Linked DNA regions of Drosophila melanogaster. Changing the gene in region 2 together with the main gene of any one other region gives a genetic interaction. Each region holds a gene or a part of one and is shown on either strand. Other genes may lie near its edges. The genes, in order: Schip1, Tao and Fas2.

Region 1 (6,826 bases), on a different chromosome or scaffold from region 2:
AGTTATAGCCAAAGTCACGATCATAGATTATGGACGAGTTCAGCCGTGTGGCGTTCTTCTTAACCACATTGTAGTGAAACTCGGATACCAAGGGCACTTTTTGATTCGTCTCCTTGTTTACATGATTATACAGATCCTCGAAGACGTCTAATAAGAATCATGATTGGATTAACCGAAGAACTCAGAATACAAGCTATGAACTTACCAGAAAAAGCCTTCTTGGTTTCCTTGTGCAAATTGGACACTGCAATGCGAGCAGCCAGGATGGCGTAGTCGGGATGATTGCATGTTAATCCAGCTGCGATTTCTGCTGCCAAGTTGTCCAGCTCCTGGGTGGTCACGCCGCAGTACAGACCATTGATGACTTGCAGGGTGATAGTAACCTATAAAGATAAAGCATAATAACACATCAGGAAAACTTCCCAAATAATCTGCTGATAACTTATTACAAATGGTTTGTATATCTTGGGACTCCCACATGAGTTTCACCAGGGGCGCTCGCACATTCTGTTGCAGATAAAATCAAACCCCATCACATATAAATACGCATCATACTTACTAGGTTCGAGTGCAACCTGTGTGATGAGCACCTTTAAACAATAGAAACAAACTTACAGGATCAACAAAATCCATGTTCAAGTTGTAGCAAAGCTTCTGGATTCTTGAGGTTATTTTATCGAAGTGCACCTCCTCCTGCCTGCCATCTGAAATAAATATATTAAGAACAGTCATAGCGACAAGGAATTGTAACCCACCTCTCTTAATAACATATAACTTTGAGGTTTTCATGGACTTGTTCTTCAACATCTTGACTGCTATATTTCACAAGAGGCGGCAAATTGATTGTTGCAAGCACAAAAAGGCGCCAAATTAAAGTCATTATTAGTGTTACCGTGCGACATGTTGATCAAATGCCGCACTTTCAAAACGCCTAACTTTGAAACGATCAAGAAACAAAATTATTTCGAACCGTTCCACTCACATTTATATCATATTCTTAAAAAATATATCATTTTAGATAATCAAATAAATATATAAATAACTGCTTGTATCAATACACAGGTGTTTTATAAAAACAAATTTAGTTTAGTGTTAATATAAATAATTAGTTGTATTTTTTATTTATTTAGCTTTATATAATTACATAAATATAACAGTGTTTGAAGAACATTTGAGTATGTGTTTTATAAACGGTCTCGGTAGATTGTTATCAATTATACAAGAGATTATAATATTTGTAAACAAGTTGTTAATAAAATATGCAATTTCAAGTGTTTAATCTAAATGGCCGTGTCTAACTATTTTATTGACTTGCTGTCCAGATTGCTGTTGGAAAACACTAGAAAGAAATATTAACATTAATACACACAGTTAAAATAAGATAATATTTGTATACATACAAAAAGTTATTTATTTTTTCGAGATCGTGTAATATATCATCTTGGTCCGAATTCAAATCGTCTCGCTCCTTAAGGCTCTCCAGTAGTGTGACGTTTAGGTTTTCAATATATTCCTGGAGATTGTTGACCAATAGCTGGAGAGTCGGAACTTGGATTCCAGTGAGCAGCTGCCTCGAAATCCATCGATGGTTGGAGTTCATTTTGATGCCAACATCACACAGCATTGATCGAATTACGTCCACAATGGGAGTTACGCCATGTTTCCTTGCCTACAAATAGATAATTACAATTACATTTGAATAAAAAATAAATAAATCCTGTGGAAAACACACCTTTACTTTCATCTGAGCTATTTCCTTCGATTGAGCTAGTGCTATTCTAACCTCTATTTGAAGTTTTGATTGATTCGCAAAGAAAAACAAGTTTTCATCCGACGGATAATCTGTTGTACCAATGGGATTGCCATTCATATGATTCATGCTTTTATCTTGGTTGATTTGGTTCTTTTGAAAGATTTTATCGTTTTCAAATTCCTTATTGCGTTTCGTTTCACAGAATTCAGATTGCTTGCGAAGTACTCCACTTGATAGTTTTGGACACGTCTCAGAGTCGGAGCTATAACTTTCATTATCGGATCCGGTTAGAAATTCCTCCTTCTTAATGTCTAAATATAAAATATAATATTTAAGAAAATATAGTAATGAAAGAATATCTTTGGTCTTACCATTATTTAAAGAATCTTTATCTCCGATTGCCAATCTCTTGCGTATCTCATCTCGATTGAATCGCCGCTGTAATTGGAATATATATTTAATAAATGATATTATTATTCCGATTATATTGTACCTACCTTTTTCTCTATCTGTTTAACCTTTTTATAATGGTTTTGCAATGTTTCTACATCCATATCGTTTGCAATCTTGTACGCATCAAATTGTTCTATAAAAATTTAAATATTAATATACTCAAGAATCTATAACGATTAATTCATATTTGAAATTACCTAAAACCATGGTGGAGCATGGATCTTTGGAGTACTTGATGGGATCTTCCAAGTACTGAGACCAGCGCGATTGATTTGAGTACTTCCGACTAGCCACCTTGTTATTGTCCTCGTCCAGATTCTGCTGGCTTCCACTTCCACCGATTTCCAAGCTGCTCATGTTGGGTATTTCAGCCTGATTTAGGTTCGGACTATCGTTTTTGTTCTTTTCCGGAACGGACGAGTATTGGTCAGCATCACAAATGATATATTTTCGTTGGCTATACGTTTTGTAGTCGAACGTGTCCGGTGGCAATTGACGTTCGTCATGAGACGGCTTTGGATGCTTCGTTTTCACGATCTGATGTCCGTACGGTGTGTTCTTCTTTTTATTTTTTCGAGTACTATTCCCGGACAATCGCGTCGAGGATGTTTGCTTAAGAGCCTCCGTTCCATTTGATAGTTCTGCATCGCAAATCTGCAAGGTACAATTATGCTTTTACGTGCCTGATCTCTTTTATTTTAACTAACTACATACCTTATCTAAATTTGATCCCTTCAACTCATCCGCTTCCTTCTTGTTTTTATATCCAGTGAGAAGTAGCTCGAATTCACGTTCCACTTCTCCGCCAAAATCACCAACAATATCGATAGGACTTTGGCCTTGCAACTGCCCTTCGTATTTCGAATTAATTGTACATGACCAGGATGGAAACTCAGGATTGGTCGTATAATTCTGGCTTAGATTGTAGATAAGGTCAGGTTTTTGCAAAGCTCGCTTGGAGTTTTCCGACGTTGCACTATAGTTTTCATTTACAATATCCGGAATGTTTTCCGATCGGTTCACGCTTTCCTCTTCTGATATATATGTGTTTCCATTGTCGCAGTTACTTAAAATCGAATCTTGGCCATTCTTAAAGGTTTCCGAGCCCGATTCCTTGGCCATCTTACTTGGGAACGTTGGGTCATCTTCTCTATCGCTGTCGGTTAGATCGCTTTCATTGCACTCCATGTCGGAGTACTCTATGTAGTCATCGGAAAGGGTATGCGCGAACTTTTGAAATCCTGGGTAGTTGGGGTTGGTGATGCCCTTTGTTATATAGATATCCATTCTTGGCATGGGCATTGGAATAAGTTGTCTAGAAGAAATAAAAAAGTTTAGATGACTTAAATATTGATTACAACTACAGTGTATTAATAACATAACATAATTAAAACATAGTAAAAGCAATAAAATGGTTTTTTTCTTATTTCCTTTTACTTGCTAAAGGACACCACTATCTCCACTCCACTATTTTCTTTAGTTCAACTCATTATCGTATTTATAAATTACTTTAAGAGTCAATTTGGTATTTAACTTCATATGTGTTTAGATGTTACATTGTCCTTAACAACACATGAATGAACTGACATTTTGTATATTCTTAAAATCGAGAAACAAGAATCAAGCCGAAAAAAGTTGGTGTAGGTGCAAATTTTTGTAACAGAAATATCTGAAGATAGTCAAAGTTACTTGCAATTATAATTTCTTGTATTTGCTTTATTTAAACGATTGTTTCGACTGTTAACAACTAAAATGTATTCCGTTTGTTTAAAATGTTAATTATTGAATCAATGAAGACTTACAAGGACTTCGGCCTTCCTGCATTCAGATGTAAAAATTACTCCCACACATATAAAGCAAATTACACGTTTGACGCATGCGCAAATCTTGGTATATAGTGTTGTTAACAATACTAAATATTATTACAAATAATTTAATTTACTAAGGAACAAAAAATTTATTAATTATTTATTATTTTTTTATATGCAAAAACTGAGAAAACAACTTAAAAATCGAAACTGAAAATGTCTCTGAGTTTTACCATGGCACAAAATTTTCTTTTAATGTAAACTTATATTATTATTATTTAAGGAATAGGCTTAAAACTTTTTGCTATGTTTTTTTCAAAGTTCTTAAAAAATCCCAATCCCAACAATTTATGAATACCTCTGATTAAATTTTTTGCACTCAGTATTTTTCTCATTTTGAGATATGGTAACACTTAAGCACAATGTGATTTAAAAAACCATAACATTGTATATAAAAGTAATAGAAATCCAAACACAACTAGAAAAATGAAATAACCGTAGACCTAACTAATAAGTGAATAATAATGATATTATTCAAAGGAATTCGGCGGGTGCAATCCCAGCTAAGAACGCCGGTTGATTTGGTGCTCATTCGGGTGAGGTTCTTGGCCATTACGCAACAAACCACTATAACAAACTATAACTTTCCAATAATTTTCAGTACTCCACTGCAGCAACGATAGCTTCCCAAGATGACAAAGGTGTCACTACAGCGTCGCCAGTATCCCAGGCGGGAAAGGTCCAGCATTTACCCGATAGTCAAATTACCTGGATGCCTAGTCCGTACACCATGCCCGGAAAAACTCTTAGCCAGTACAAGAAGCTATCCAAGTTCCGGCTGACATGTAAGCGAGATGGTTAAACATTGGCCAAGCATCGACCATAGTTGTCTTTCGTTGCAGCGCTGGTGGTCATTACAACGATGGGCGGCTATGCCATGGCGCCAGCTGCTTTCGATCCCACAACGTTTGCGATGTGCACCCTGGGCACAGGACTCGTTTCGGCTGCGGCGAATGCCATTAATCAGTATCACGAAGTTCCTTTCGATTCGCAGATGTCGAGGACAAAGAACCGGGTGCTCGTCACGGGGCAAATGACACCACTGCATGCAGTTACCTTCGCCGCGGTGTCGGCAACTGCCGGCTTAAGTATGCTGTATTTCGGAGTAAATGGATTGACGGCGGCGCTGGGAGCGGGTAACCTGTTCCTCTACACCACGATATACACACCGATGAAGCGTATCAGCATAGTCAATACCTGGGTGGGATCGATAGTGGGCGCCATTCCTCCGCTGATGGGATGGGCTGGTTGTGCAGCCACCCTGGACGCCGGCGCCATGATCCTAGCCGGAGTGCTGTACGCGTGGCAGTTCCCGCACTTCAACGCTCTGTCGTGGAACCTCCGGCCGGATTATTCACGTGCCGGCTACCGAATGATGGCCGTTACCAATCCGGGTCTTTGTCGCCGCACTGCGCTGCGATATTCGGTGGCTATTGTCGGACTTTCAGCCATGGCACCCGTACTGGACGTCACGAACTACTGGTTTGCCTTGGAAACACTACCTCTGAACGCGTACTTCGCCTACCTTGGTAAATATACTCATTAACCATGGAATCCTATATGTTATGTCTAATACGTTCTGTTTGCTTGCAGCGTACAAGTTTCATGAAAAGTCAGATAGTGGGAGCTCGCGGAAGCTGTTCCGATTTTCACTGATACACCTGCCCGCCCTGATGCTGCTATTTCTGACCAATAAGAAGGAATGGTATTTCAGCAAACCCGCCGGTGAGGAGAACAAAAAGGAGTCCACGTACAGTGCGATAAAGCATTCTGCTAGCAGTCTTGGTAATGTCCTGCCCGTCGCCGTAGCCGAAGGACCCAGATAGAAATATTAACATTAATTTGATAAAATGTTAAGTATCGTGTGAAATTTAAATATACTTAGTGTTCTGCAACTTGTAAAAACAGTCATTTAATATTAAGGAAACACGTACCCCTGTGCGGCAAATATATGTTGCGCCTAATAAATGACACGACATCCTTGAAAAATATGCGGTGTAACCAATCCGGCGCTGAATACAAATAAATTTAAAATATACAATTTGGCATGGAATCTTAAGCCGTACAGTAATTTAAATTGCAAGATTCTAAGTATGACCTTATTATATTGTTCTTTGAGCACTTGTTTCAAAAAAAGCACGGAAACGGTAAAAATTGTTAGTGGAAGTAATCCCGTTTCCCGTTGTTTCATCGGTTGTTGAAAATAAGGAATTTAAATCTATTTTATTTTGATAAATTGTAGCAATCGAATCGAACGTATTATTTAAGGCATTGTAAGGCATCTCTTCTTCAGATTCCAGAGTTTATTCCTTTGGAGGGTTTTTTTTCCAAGATTAAAAAACGACATGCGCATTTCCTAGGGATAAGTATTCTAGCTATTTTAGGAACTATATTCCGCAATTGAAATAATTTTAATAATAATAGTAAAATCCGTCAGATAAATAGTCAAAAATTTCTAGCTAAAAATGAGTATAGCTGTACGTTATCGATAACAGAAATACCAAAAAGTTGCCCCTATTTCAGTATATTTCACTGGTTCCTCTGCTGTATGCGTTGGTCTTACAAATGAAAAGAACAATATTTTGTATTGTGTTGCAATAGCCTTGATGTTTTATCACAGAAGCACATTAGCATAATCACTGATTTATCGCGATGCCGAGATGAATCATGCAGCTAACGCGACTATCGCTGGAGCCCTCGTTTGGTAATTTGAACGGGAAACTAGATCAAATGAGCGAAAAATCTGTGGCGA
Region 2 (6,843 bases):
AATCGAATACACCTATAATATTCAGATAATCTTCATTGTTGAACATTTGAACTGTTTTGAGGAATGAGATTTGACACAAGTTCAAGTGAAATTGGTAGTATGTACATACATACGTTTGTATATGGTATATAACCACTTGAGTTTACAATTATAAAACAAGCAATCTATGAATGATTTCCCTATCTTATGGGAAACTTATCTGTGAATTATTGATATTTTGTTAGGGTTTTAAAACATGTAGATTCGTACTCGACACAGAACAATCTAAATAGTATAGATACTTAATGAGCTTGCAGATAGTTAGTTCCCTTGTGTATATCAATCCCTTATGTTGGAGGCAGCTCTACTATATGGTATATGCTATGTGTATGTATGGTATATATATAGGTGGGTATATGGAGTTCTAGTCCCACGGTGCGTGTTGTTTAGCCTCTTAAAATGCACTCGCCGCTAAGCATTATGCATAGTTCGAGCTGCACTTACGATCTATAAACTGGCGCAAAAGTAGTGCAAAAGTAATTGTTGCCACGCACTGAACTCGTTGATAACCGCCGGCAGTCGGCGGGGTCTGCGATTACGAGATCCAGGCGGACGGTCGCAGCTAACCCGTCTAACTAGTTGACTTTGGGGGGGCACTTAATCCGCGACGCCCAGGCCCGCGTGGCACCACTCCGTTGGAGTACAGGCAGGCGACTCCAGCGCTGACCAGCGCCAGTTCTGATTGGAACGGCCTTTCGAGCGGTACACACATACTCTTTGATCCGTCAGGATGAGGATGTTACGTCTGCAGTTGATGGCCCTGCTGTTGGTGGGCCTGCTCCTGGCGCTGATCTCAGCCGATCCTGGGCCGCAGGACACGGAGGTGGCGCGAGAAAAGCGAGGCACCATCACCCTGGACTTTGGCCTGCTCCTGCGTAACCTGCTGCTCAAGAGCGCCCAGCTGTCCTCGGCTAAGGCCAATCTGGCGCGGACCACACGTCGTCCACCGACGACCACCACGACGACGCCGCCTCCGCCACCACCACCTGCTCCGATACGCATTCGTAAGCCCATCTGGCATCCGTTCTTCAGTTCCGGTTTCCTGCCCGGGGCCTTCGATGTGGACTACGCTGATCCTCCGGCACCACGACCTCCAGCGCCTGCGCCGCCCACTACACAGCCACCTAGACGCGTCCGACCGCAGGTGCGACCACGTCCACGCCCAACGACACTGGCACCGCCTCCTCCGCCGAACTATGACTACGACTATGACTATGATGCGCAGCCAGCGGCGCCAGCTGAACCTCCACCGCCTCCACCTCCTCCGCCGCCGCCCACAGCTCCGCCACGCCCAAGGCCACGGCCGCGCCCACGACCCCAGCAGCCCGATCCTCAACAGCGGCGTCCCGCCCAGCTGGGCGACCGCCTTATCTATCAGTACGCACAACCTACTGGTAAAATACGAAACCTCTTAACTAACTGCCGTACAATTGGGTTCTCTCCGACACTTTGCAGATACCTTCTTTAGGTCGCGAGCCGTGGCGGAGGCGACGGCGGCGGCTGACCCAGACAGCGGAGACTTAGTTGACTCCCAGGACCCGGACTCAGTTGCCGATCCGGATGCGGCTGCATTTCCTGTCACTGCAGATGGGCCTGACTCCCAACCTGCTTCTCCCCCACCAAGTGCTTCGCGATTTTTGGTCAACTACGAGAGCGATGACGACTTTGGGCAGCCGTTTGCTGGACAGCGGGCTCAGGATGCGGGTCAGGATGGGGGTCAGGATCAGGGTTCAGCGGGTGCTTCTGGTATTCCCGCATCATCCCAAGGCTACTTCCCGCCCCTCGAGCTTGGCAACACGAATCGCTTCCCAACTTTCAATCAGCAGCAGTACTTCTATAATTAAGCGGTAGAGTTTCTCATTTTTCCAACGTGGGCAATAAAATTAACTTCGCAGCTTGATATATTATGTGTATGTACATATGTATAGCTTATGTGTTGCAGTGTGCTTAAAATTGAACATAAACTATTTTAAATATAAGCATCCATTTTTTTGTATTCCCAGTTTGCATAGTTGTAAATAACATATCAAATAAAGTAATAATGTAAGTTCCCCGTAATTTATATTAACTAGGAGGGCGTTAAATAGCTAAGTAAATACCGTATCATGAAATTATCAGTATGTTTTCAAAAAGTGCGCCAAACTTGTTGCGATGAGTATCGGTATTTGACTTAGCGAACTGAGCTATTAAAAAGTTATTAAAAATTTGATACATATATGTGTTCTTCTAACATAGATACCCAACTGCGATTTCGTGAGCTGTAATTCTGCAGAATTCTGTATAAGTTAAATTATTGATTTTCAAACATTAAAAAAAAAAACTAATAATTCCAAAACGATAGCGTAACCACGGACATCACCACCCGGTGCACGTTCGATAGACTATCGATAGAGACCAAAAAACGAACCTTTTCTCTTAAAACTAATTGAATTGAGCGAATTCAACTATAAAAACGCCTCTGCAAGAGTTAACTTCGCAAACATATTGAAAAAAATAAGTTAATTTTAAATATATCGCCTAAAATCGGGATTTTTTAGTAAAAAGCGGTCAGTGGTAGTTTTTGGTTTCAAGCCGCTCGGCTGATCTGGTAACACTGTGTGCTGTGTGAACGTGAACTTTACGGAATTTAATTAGAGAAACGGGTGAAGAAAAGTTGCAAATAGACAATCGCTGCCAATTTTCCATGCCGTAGATGGGTGCATCTGCGACGTAACGATCCCCCGAATTCGGTGCTTGGCACTCGAGATGTGTAGCCAGTGCGGATTCGTGAACGCAACGCGTGTGCAGTGCAGGGCAATAGTTGCCATTCCCAGTAGCAGTATCACTACCACTACCAGTCCCATTCCGATTCCCGTTCCCAGTCGCAGCAGGGCCAATAACAGCAGCAGCGGTCGTAGGGAAAGCGACGTATGAAAGGGAAAAATGCATACAGATGCGAAAAGCGAGACCCAGTTGCGCCGATAAACAAGCAAGCACTAATTGATTGCCAAATGTAAGCCCTCGAACGCAGTGGAAAAAGTTCAAACGTTTTTTCTTTTTCGCCTCGCCAGATTTATGCATTTTCCACTGTCTCTCCATCCCTGTGTGCGTGTGTGCCTGTGTGTGTGAATGCGTATGCTCGTGTACGTGTGTGTATGTGCATACTGTTCTTTTTCGCGTTTGCGTTTTGGCCAATAAATGCGAATTTCTTGTGTGCCATCTGCCCATTGAATTAACAATGTGGTATTATCATTGATCCCACAAATTTCAATCAAATACAGCGCATTTGCGGGTTCTGAGTGCTACATCTGATTTCGGTGCGACGACTCCCTCAACGCGCGAGAACGGGATAGCACCAGTCGAACCATACGAATGTGTGTGTATTTGTCTGCTCCCCCGACGAGCGTGAGTGTGTGTGTGTGCAAGCAAAACAAAATTAGGCGATTCAAAACAGTTGCAAAATGCAGCGAAATAAGCCAATTTTAATCGCAACACATAGATCAACCATGGTAATCAGTCAATAAGTGGTCAGTCAACGAAGAAAACCAACAACTGGCGCAGCATCACCGCCTTCGTGCGTTCTTTTTCGGCTCCTTCGGTGTGTGCCTAGTCCGCACCCAAGGAAAAGCCAACCCAACTGAAAATCAATTCGAATCGCAGAACTCTTTGGTATTCTACTACAATTCCCTGTGACGGAGCGCCACAGCACAGTGCAAGCCACGGAAAAGGCACGAATTGAATTGAATTTGTGTCGCCCGAAATGCAAAACAACAAGCAATCCCACCGCACATATACATATAGAGCGCGCGCGTGAGTGTGTGTGAGCGACATGGCTGCTCTTTGTGCAATAGTGTGGTGGCTATGAAAAATAGGCGTGTTTCTGTTTCGCGTCGCAGGCAAAGAATTGCAGTCGCCGCACCACAGCGGACTAATTGTATTGAGAATTTTTGCCAGGCGGCGATAGGCGAAAGCCGGAGCTCCGACGGGGGCCAAAATCCGCGTCTTTAGCCGGCGGATATCCGCAGACGCCCGCAAAACGCCTCCGCATGCACAGACATGCATACTCCAATGTATGCATGTGTGTGTGTGTATTTGGATTCGCAACGGCGATAAATGCACCCCTTTGGTGCCGTTACTCCTTGGCAGCTCGCGTGTGTTTGTGTGTCAGTCGTAACGACCTTTGATTACCCTGCAGCACGTGTGCATACCCTACACCTAGCTAGTTAGTCCAGCTTGACCACAAATACCGCCCTACTGCACGTGCGCATCCACTCCACTCATTACTTGTTCGAAATCCAAGCAAATGAACTTAACGGCGTTAGTCATACCGACTGCCAAATGCCCTAGACCACTTACACCCCAGCTGTCGTAATCTGGCCAAAAAGCAGCTGACAAGTTGGTAACAAGCTGAGGAAAATAGCCTGGCCATAAAAGACGGTGCCAACAGTGAATATATTTGCGATAAGGCCGTGCTGCGTGCGGAATTCGGAGTTTTGAATGATTCGTACAGTATGTGCGAGCATGAATCACTTGATCGATTTGATGATAGTCGGCTTTTAGCTGTTCCCATCCGTCCGTCCGTTTGACCGTCTCCCCATGCAAATGCTGACCAAAGCACAGTGCCCACTGTCCACTGGCCCAGCCATTCCCGCTACGCCCCGTGCCGCCCAATTCAATTGGTCCGCAGTCTCAGCGTTTCAGCCTGAAATCCCCCAAAAATGTCGACCCTTTGAACATGACTAAGTGACTGGCGCAGGCTGTGAATGTGACTGACTAACCGGAATCGCCTTTTTTTCGCCCCACCCGATCCGCACAGAACTTCAAGACAGCAGAGTAGCCAGCTGGAGCTGCAAGCTGCGAGGAGAAGCACGCAGGTCGACCACTGAGAGAGCTGGGCTAGAGCATGAAAGACAGCCATGCCTTCGGCACGACCTGGTAGTCTCAAGGATCCGGAAATAGCCGACCTATTCAACAAGCATGACCCGGAGAAAATCTTCGAGGACCTGCGCGAAATCGGCCATGGGTCTTTCGGCGCGGTCTATTATGCGCGATGCAACCTCACCAGGGAGATCGTGGCCATCAAAAAGATGTCGTACACCGGCAAGCAGAGCCAGGAGAAGTGGCAGGATATTCTCAAAGAGATACGGTGAGCACTGGCTGACACTTGCGTTCGCCCGAGTGACTTCTAATCAATTTATGTGTACACAACAGCTTCCTTCGCCAATTGAACCACCCGAACACCATAGAATACAAGGGATGCTATTTGCGCGAATCAACCGCCTGGCTGGTGATGGAGTACTGCGTGGGCTCCGCCTCGGACATCATCGAGGTGCACAAGAAGCCGCTGCACGAGGACGAGATCGCCGCCATCTGTCTGGGCGTGCTCAGTGGGTTGAGCTATCTGCACTCGCTGGGCCGCATCCACCGTGACATCAAGGCGGGCAACATCCTGCTCACGGACAACGGCGTCGTCAAGCTGGCCGATTTCGGTAGCGCTGCCATCAAGTGTCCGGCCAACAGTTTTGTCGGCACGCCCTATTGGATGGCGCCCGAGGTGATCCTGGCCATGGACGAGGGCCAATACGACGGCAAGGTGGACGTGTGGTCGCTGGGCATCACCTGCATCGAACTGGCAGAGCGCAAGCCTCCCTACTTTAACATGAACGCCATGTCGGCGCTCTACCACATTGCGCAGAATGAGTCGCCGACTCTTCCGGTGAGTAGCAATCGAAGTTTTAATTTCTTGGTAGGAGTCTGTTTTGATAGCAAAACTGAAGTATGCCAATGTATTTATTTACGTATCGCTCTCATGTGTCCCTAGTGTTATTGTTTTATTTCCCACTTTTGGGGCTGGGGCAAGTTATATTTTACCCATTTGTATAGTAGAGCCTCCAGATTCTGCTTAAAAAAGTGTTTATGATTCAGAACTTTGTAAAGCAATTTTAAAGTAAACTAAGTAAGTGCAATTTGAATGTTATAAACAATTATCAAACCTATTCGATTTCAACCCGACAGAAGAACGACTGGTCGGATGCGTTTTGCAGCTTTGTTGAACTGTGCCTCAAGAAGATGCCAGCAGAGCGACCCTCGTCGGCCAAGCTGTTGACCCACGCCTACGTGACCCGACCGCGTTCCGACACCGTGCTGCTGGAGCTGATCGCGCGCACCAAGTCAGCGGTGCGCGAGCTGGACAACCTCAATTACCGCAAGATGAAGAAGATACTCATGGTGGACACCTGCGAGACGGAGAGCGCCGTGGGCGACACCGACGACCAACAGGACGACCATGCCGGCGGCGACAGCAGCAAGAGCAATAGTATTACTTCGGAACACTCCATACACTCGGTGGGTGTATCGGCAGCCAGTAGTCAGGTGAGCATGAGCTGTCCTTCGTTTAAAGCCACCCCACATTTCGTTTTATTTTCATTTTTGACCTTTCAGAGCTCCTCATCCAATTCCATACCGGCTGCGGCACAGAATCATCACCATATCGCTGCGCACCACCACCAGCAGGCGGCTAGCGCCGCTGTGGCGGCGGCAATGCACCACCATCACCATCCACACCAGCAGCCGCCGCCCAGCTGGCCAAGCGGCCAGCAAGGACAGCCGGTACCGCCTGGAGCCGTGTCCCGCAACTCGTCGCGCCATCGAAACCGGCCGCCGCTGCCAAACATAATGCACAGCATGAACAACAATGTGACGCCAACTAACTCGGCATCGGTGGTGCCGGCACCAGCGCCTGCTCCAGTACTCCCACCGCCTATTTCCGTGCTGCCGCATCTGAGTGCGATGGGCCACGTGGGCGGCGGGGGCACTGGGACCGGT
Region 3 (6,530 bases), about 15 Mb from region 2:
ACTTTCTACAAAAGCGTTCTGAGCAAAGAAAAGTGCTTAAACACTTATTTCCAACTATCAAATTCTTGATCACCTACCGACTGAGTCATCTTGCAATGATTTAACCAATTTTTTACTCTTCTCTGTAAGAATTTTATCACTTCTTTGGACGGGGGGGAAATTGTAGAAAGCGCTGCGGAGCACAAGGGGCGAAGAAACTGAGTTAATTAAATTCGACTTTCTGCGGTATTAGAACATTTTAAGAGGCCTCGCTGAGAAATTCTCCGCCAGCATCAGCTTTTGTGGTCCAAACCGGATGCGGTAATTGCTGGGAAGTCGACGCTGGACTCTTCTTGACTTTACCAACTTTGCCAAGAAGTTTGCGACGCAACAAACTCTGTCTGAGTTATGAATCTTCCCAGTCGATATAACTAACTTCACATTTGCTGCTAGTCAGTCCGGTTTAATGGGTTTAAAGCTAATTTCAATCTGCGTTTCTATGTTCTATCTTTTGGTCCATCATTTGTTAATCAGTTAATAATTATATAAGCTGTGTTTGCACCTTGTTTTTTTTCTTTCTAATTTTTGGTCTTAGGCCTAATTAGCTGATTATTTTCAATAGTTTCTTTACTCATTTCAGGAAATGTTCCCAAAATCCAAAGAATCATGGCAACCAAGTCTTATTTATTATTTAACAGGCAACTCTTGCGCAATAGTTATCAGCGTTTGTTTGTCCCAATTTTACGGCTCCAAAGTCAGGTGCCGGAATTTTAGGAGTATCTGCGATTGTAATTCCCTCATGTTAACTGAAAAATTTACGATATTTGACCAGCCACGGATATGGTCTGCTCTAAGGTAAAGTAAATATTGACTCTAGTCTCTTCTGGGAGATTGCGATAAGGTAAAAGATGATTTTAGTTTTCGTGGGATGTTATTTTCTTATATTTCCTTAGGTCTCTATTTGCTTAGCGTTCGTTTCAGGGTCGCCTATCATCAGGTACATAAGTGCAAGTGCTCAGGTAATTTGTCTGCCTAAATCTTGTGCTATCTATCATATAGGGAAACAACAACGATTTGATATGACCCTCTCGACTGATAAGCGGATTTAAGCTAAGTCAAAAGACCTCTGGTTAGCCATAATTGTGGCTTTATAATACAAACGCTTGCCGTTTGGTTACATTGGTATATTGCCAACTAAGCTAATGATATGTCAATTTTTTGGAATGATAGTTACCAGCCAGGTGGAAAATTTAGGGCATCACAAAGGTGATGATGTGACACAACTATTGAGATTAAAGGTGTTAATTCTATTTCTCCGGCTTAGTTTTTTCTTTTCAAAGGAGAAGCGGCCATAAATTTTCGACTTTAGCACAATTCGTGCGTTTGGGTTCTATTTCTAATTATAATACCAAATTGAAAAGCACATATTGGGAATTCGGGGAGCGTTTTTATACCCGTACTCACCTATTAAAGAGCAGCTGCAGAGGAGCAGCGCCAAAAAGACGCCGACTGAATTTGGCGGCAATTCACCCATTTTTATCGCTGTTTTTGCAGTTGTAGTAGTTTTCTAGTTTTCCCCGCTCGCAAATAGCTCTCGTTTTAACTTCTTTGGTTTGTTTACGGTTGCACACGAAAAAAATGTTTAAAAAATTTCAGTTTGTTTTCGCTGCTCGTGATTGCACAAATTATTCTATTCTGATTAACACTTTGCGTTCGGTGTCTTTTGTTTTTTTTTCTTTTGTCTGTTTCGGTGTGTGAATCTGAAAGTATATTGATAATGAAAGAAAGATGAATTAGCTAAGCTTTTAATAGTAATATAGATAGGGTTTTTTTTTAGTTTAAATTCATGGTAACTGGCTTTTGTGGTTAGTCAGATTGGGCCTTAGAAGTTCATCTGCATTTGATATTTGTCATAACTTTAGCATTTTAGCTTCAAATGGCAAATGTTGGCATTTATGGGCGAGGAGAAGAGGAAGAAGGCAGTGCAAGCGAGACAGCGCGAGCCGATGTTGTGTGCGTGTGTGCCTTGTCTCTTTTGCATTCTCTAAAATCGGCGGCGGCAGCGAAGAAGAAAAAAAATGAGAAAGGAAAACGAAGAAAATAAAACTTGCTGCGCCGCCGACTTCGCACATGTTGGCCAGTTTTTGTAACGGAAATTACGGTGCTCTCGGCAGTCGAAACACGTAGTGCAGGGGAAATATGGTAGGAGCAACACAGACACAAGGGGTAAGGGAGGGAAGGGGGGCTTTGGATAAGGTAGGAGAGGATTGCTTAAGCTGAATTTTATCTATAAGTTTGTGTTCTCAGTAGATCGTTATCTTTTGGGTTCGAGAGCGAAATGTATATTTCTTATCGGCACATAAGTTCGTGCGTCTCTCCAATAATTCATGACTCAAGCTTTGTCTCTCTCGCTCTCTTTCGCCTTCTCTCTCTCTCTATGTCTACTGAAGTTGCACCTATGCTGAGTGTCCTTGAATTGCAACAAGTTCTAAAGTACAGTTATCGCTCGCTTTAGAGAATATCGTAAACCAAATAAAAAACGGTTGAGTTATAGAATTGAACGTGACTTCAATGCAATGACTAATAATAAAGGTAGAATAAGTGATCAATAAAAGTTAATTTTCATTTACAGTGACGCCTTGCAAGCAGTGCTCTTTTTTTTTTTTTTTTGAAAACTCATAACAGTCCTAGCAACAAAAAATATTTGCATGCAGGCGAGGGAAAACTGTAGTTACTTCCTCGCGAGCTCGTCTTGCCACTAATCCCGCCCACTTTGCACAGCGGAACTTTCCCACCGCACCCCCTCATTTGGCTTACGGTTATTACAGTTACTGGATAATCGATATTTAGGGCAGGCCTTGACTTTTTTTTTCATAGGAACCGCGCGTATGTGTGTCTGCGGCACGCGAAATATTCTTGAGAATATTTCGCTTTCATCTCGCTTCATTCTTGCTTTTGGCAAATTGAGACATTGTTACAAAATACCCGCGAAGCAGTTTTAAATATTCATAAAGTTTCGAAAACGCTAATTATAATGAGAGACTTGGCCAGAGGGGAAGTTCTGGCAACGGTAGAGTTTTTGTGAATCTGTTCAAGTTGCACAAAGTTTAGAAGTTTTCCACTTGATATTCGTGAATTATTAATGCTGTCAAATGATTTGATTTTGACTTTCGGCGCGACCGACAAATTGTAATTACATCTGCCGTTTTGATTGCCTAGAATTGGACGAACTCAATAGGATTTTGTAGTCTTAATTAAAATATGGCTCGGTTAGGTTTGATAAAACGCAATAAACTAATTTATTAATGCGAAACTAACATCTTGTTCGAAAAACTGCCAAAAGTAAAGCGGCAAAAGTTTTCAAATAAGCACTCTATGAAGTCGATGAAGTTAATTTACCAACTTTGAGTTTATTCCGACTTGTTAACAGTTTAAACAAATATTTTTAATCACATTAAAACTTTTGCAGAAAGCCGCAGCAAACGAAATAAACTTTTTGATATGCGACATAAAGGCAATTTTGACAGACAAAGGAAAAACGAAACCGACTGAAATTGGTCGTGAAATTTGAGAATCTATTCTTTTCTATTTTTTTTTTTTTTTGTTCTGTGGTTAACATTCCAGATTAGTTGTGGAATCAATTTGCCCGGCTTTTCCTAATTCTTAACGTGTTTCTTTTTTGTATGTTTCATATTTCCTATTTGCCAGCTGCAAGCGTGAGTCAATTTCCAGTGCACACTGTTGGTAGTAACAACAATAAAGTTGGCAGCGAAGCGGGCCCAAAAACCTGTTTTCCGTTTTATTTTTCTTGCTTTTCAGGTGATGTTGCTCTTTTTTTTCATATTTGTTGTATGCACTTTTCCAACTCGATTATTGGGTGAGTTTTCAAAGGGTTTTCATGGAGGTTTTCATTGAAATAACTTTTGCACGTGACTCATTGGAATCTTGGGCTAAAACAACAAAACAGCATAGACTCAGCAGAGCGAGAGAGATACATTTGTGTATTTTTTGTCACACGCTAAAAAAAAAGTTTTGAAAAAAAAAATATGTACAAGAATGCCGCCAGTTTATTTTTGGTTTTTGTGGAGCTGTCTCGACATGTTTTTTGAGTTCTTCTCATGCACGGCCAAATAATGGCTGTTATGAGCAGTTATTATTATTATTTATTATTACCAATTTCTCATTGTTTAACTGGCACACTAACACACACGCACACGACGCGCCACGACCGTTAACACATACGGTGAAGAGAGCGCGAGAGAATGCGAGTATGAAGAAGAAGAACCACTTCTGTTGTCTCTATTTGTGTTTTTCTTTCTCTCAGCAAGCAGAGCACTCGACGCGTTGGCCGTCGAAACGTAACTGAAAGCACCGCTAGCGCTGCCGCCGCAAAATACCACAGCTATTGCCGCGCCACAAGATCTGGCAACCCCAAATGTTGCCAGCCGATGCGACGCAGCATGTTGCCAACCGAAAGTAATCAAGCAAGGGAGATGGTAGAAGTTTAAGAAGTAAAGTGCATAGATAATAGCAATTTATAAAACCGAAAATCTGAGCTCTTTTAAAATGAAATTAATTTACATAAATAACGTAATAAGTGCACAGGAATATTAATATCAGTTATTGGCCAAATATGTTTTCAGTGGAGACTAAAAGAGATGGAGAGTGTCTACCGTTAGGCGGCGAAGAATTCAGCTCTTTTCTTCTCGAGTGTCAGCAAGGTCAAACGACAATGGGCGGAGAAACTGGGCGGTGGCACTTAAGCCCCATTTCGTCACTTTTACGAGCGACTGGTGTCAGGTTTTTTGACACGTTTTTGTTGCCCAATCTTTGTGGAGCTTTGTCAACAAACTTTCAGAACGAAGCATTAAAAATGTAACTACTTTATTCGGGGGCACATTTAAAAGAGCTACACGTATGTACATATATTACGCAAAGTGTGCTATCGCGAGGAGATGATGTCTAGCTAAGGTTTTTCCGATTGATATGCAAGATGAAAATCTCACACTTCGATAAGTTTTGTAAGAATATTCGGGAACACTATCTAAACATCCTTCGAAGTTAGCAGCATGTTGCCGAAACCTCTTGCAACATTTCGAAATGAGGAAAACCAAAGTTTAACGTCTTATTTTTCGGCACAGCATTTTACGATCTTGCTGTCGAAGTAACCGACGAATGCTGGGGGGAAAATCGGGCGGGTATGCAAGACGAATTTTCCGGCTGGCAACATTTCGGATATTTCGGAGACGGCCACTTGTTGCCCGCGCAACATCGAGATTCGATTCCAAACAAAAACTTCTTTTATTTTCAATTGCCGCGCTGTCAATTAAACCAGCCTGCGGAAAAATCGTGACGAGGGGGGTGATTTTCCCCGGTTAAGTGGAAACAAAAAAAAAAATCGCAGTTACGTTTGAATGCGCTGTGTGCAATTTACTAAATGAAATTGCGTATAGATGCCAATGCGATGTATTCTGCAGTTATCATTGTTGTTTTGTTTCGTTTGTCGTTTGTGTGACGGAGCAATTTATCACCGTATACAGAGGGGATATATGTACCTACATATATCTATATACCAGCGACACCCCTCCCCCGCCAGAATCACCAATAAGTGATTTATAGGATTGTTATTTTGTCGTTGATGTCGCACTTTCGCTGCGCTTTATTTATTGCTCGGAATCTTCCTCTATCTCCCACACACAAAACAAAAACCCGATACGCCCGATTCGCCCGATTTGGAGTGCGTTAATTTTATTTCACAGCCGGCCGAATTTTCCGAACTTTTCACAGATGAATATTGAATTGATCGGCTGGCTGTGGGAACTATGGTGACAATCGTTCTTCACGCTTAATTTGCTAATGCGTTCGACCTTTGACCCATGATGTGCCAACGATGTGAACATTTTGGCTATCAACAAATAGGATTTAACACGATTGCATTTAAATGTATTGGCGATTTAAAAAGCAAGAATGTAATATAAAGAAATTAGAACATAAATATAAATAAATAAGTAATTATTTTAAGAATCTTTGGTCTTGGCACCAGTAATCTGATGTAAAAACAAAGGAAATATGCCCATTTCCCGCCGAGAACTGCAATTATTTAACAATTATGGGAACCAGTGAACAATGGCGATAGTTTATATGTTGTTCAAGCCTACTTGAAATGGTTTCGCCTGACCTGTGACCCCGAAATCCGACTATCTGCTACCTGATTTGAAGCCAGCCAGCCAGACAAATGAAGACGTCGATTTAGTTTTCGGATGGGTGGTCCTCGAATCAATCTCCAGCTATCTCGGCAATTCTGTTCCAATTTGTAGCCCGGATTGAGTTCGTTTTTTTTTTTTTTTTTTTTTTTTGTTGAACACCTGCATTTTTTGGTGGTGCATCGAGAATAGGTTCTCAAATGACGGTAACCGCAGCCCGAGATCATTAGAAAATGTTTAATAACTCTATAAGCAATTAGATACGAAGAGCTCCCCGCGCAATCCGCACCATTTCTGACAGGTTTTGTCCGCACCGAAGAACCAAAACTCAATTCCAATCTCGTTCTT

What was found.
Region 1: of Tao (region 2) and Schip1, changing one suppresses a phenotype caused by changing the other (phenotypic suppression), as found in Drosophila melanogaster (one study listed by BioGRID).
Region 3: of Tao (region 2) and Fas2, changing one suppresses a phenotype caused by changing the other (phenotypic suppression), as found in Drosophila melanogaster (one study listed by BioGRID).

What each region holds. Positions count from the first base shown.
Region 1 is NT_033779.5:10,327,072-10,333,897, forward strand, and holds Schip1 (schwannomin interacting protein 1), read right to left. Parts: upstream 4,046-6,826; 5' UTR 4,009-4,045; intron 3,522-4,008; 5' UTR 3,509-3,521; coding exon 2,921-3,508; intron 2,861-2,920; coding exon 2,404-2,860; intron 2,340-2,403; coding exon 2,251-2,339; intron 2,192-2,250; coding exon 2,125-2,191; intron 2,065-2,124; coding exon 1,733-2,064; intron 1,670-1,732; coding exon 1,401-1,669; intron 1,340-1,400; coding exon 1,276-1,339; 3' UTR 1,129-1,275; downstream 1-1,128. Other genes in the region: RnrL (ribonucleoside diphosphate reductase large subunit), read right to left, coding at 1-147, 206-383, 616-704, 756-807; Cox10 (cytochrome c oxidase assembly factor 10), read left to right, coding at 4,539-4,610, 4,676-4,859, 4,917-5,603, 5,668-5,900. UniProt on the Drosophila melanogaster protein: Regulator of the Hippo/SWH (Sav/Wts/Hpo) signaling pathway, a signaling pathway that plays a pivotal role in organ size control and tumor suppression by restricting proliferation and promoting apoptosis.
Region 2 is NC_004354.4:19,575,586-19,582,428, reverse strand, and holds the start of Tao (Tao), read left to right. Parts: upstream 1-2,628; 5' UTR 2,629-3,031; intron 3,032-3,926; exon of another isoform or gene 3,927-4,527; intron 4,528-4,834; 5' UTR 4,835-4,934; coding exon 4,935-5,164; intron 5,165-5,229; coding exon 5,230-5,734; intron 5,735-6,033; coding exon 6,034-6,390; intron 6,391-6,459; coding exon 6,460-6,843. Other genes in the region: CG14218 (uncharacterized protein), read left to right, coding at 770-1,433, 1,495-1,883. UniProt on the Drosophila melanogaster protein: Serine/threonine-protein kinase which regulates the Hippo/SWH (Sav/Wts/Hpo) signaling pathway, a signaling pathway that plays a pivotal role in organ size control and tumor suppression by restricting proliferation and promoting apoptosis.
Region 3 is NC_004354.4:4,201,748-4,208,277, forward strand, and holds the start of Fas2 (fasciclin 2), read right to left. Parts: upstream 4,347-6,530; 5' UTR 4,153-4,346; intron 1,740-4,152; 5' UTR 1,514-1,739; coding exon 1,444-1,513; intron 1-1,443.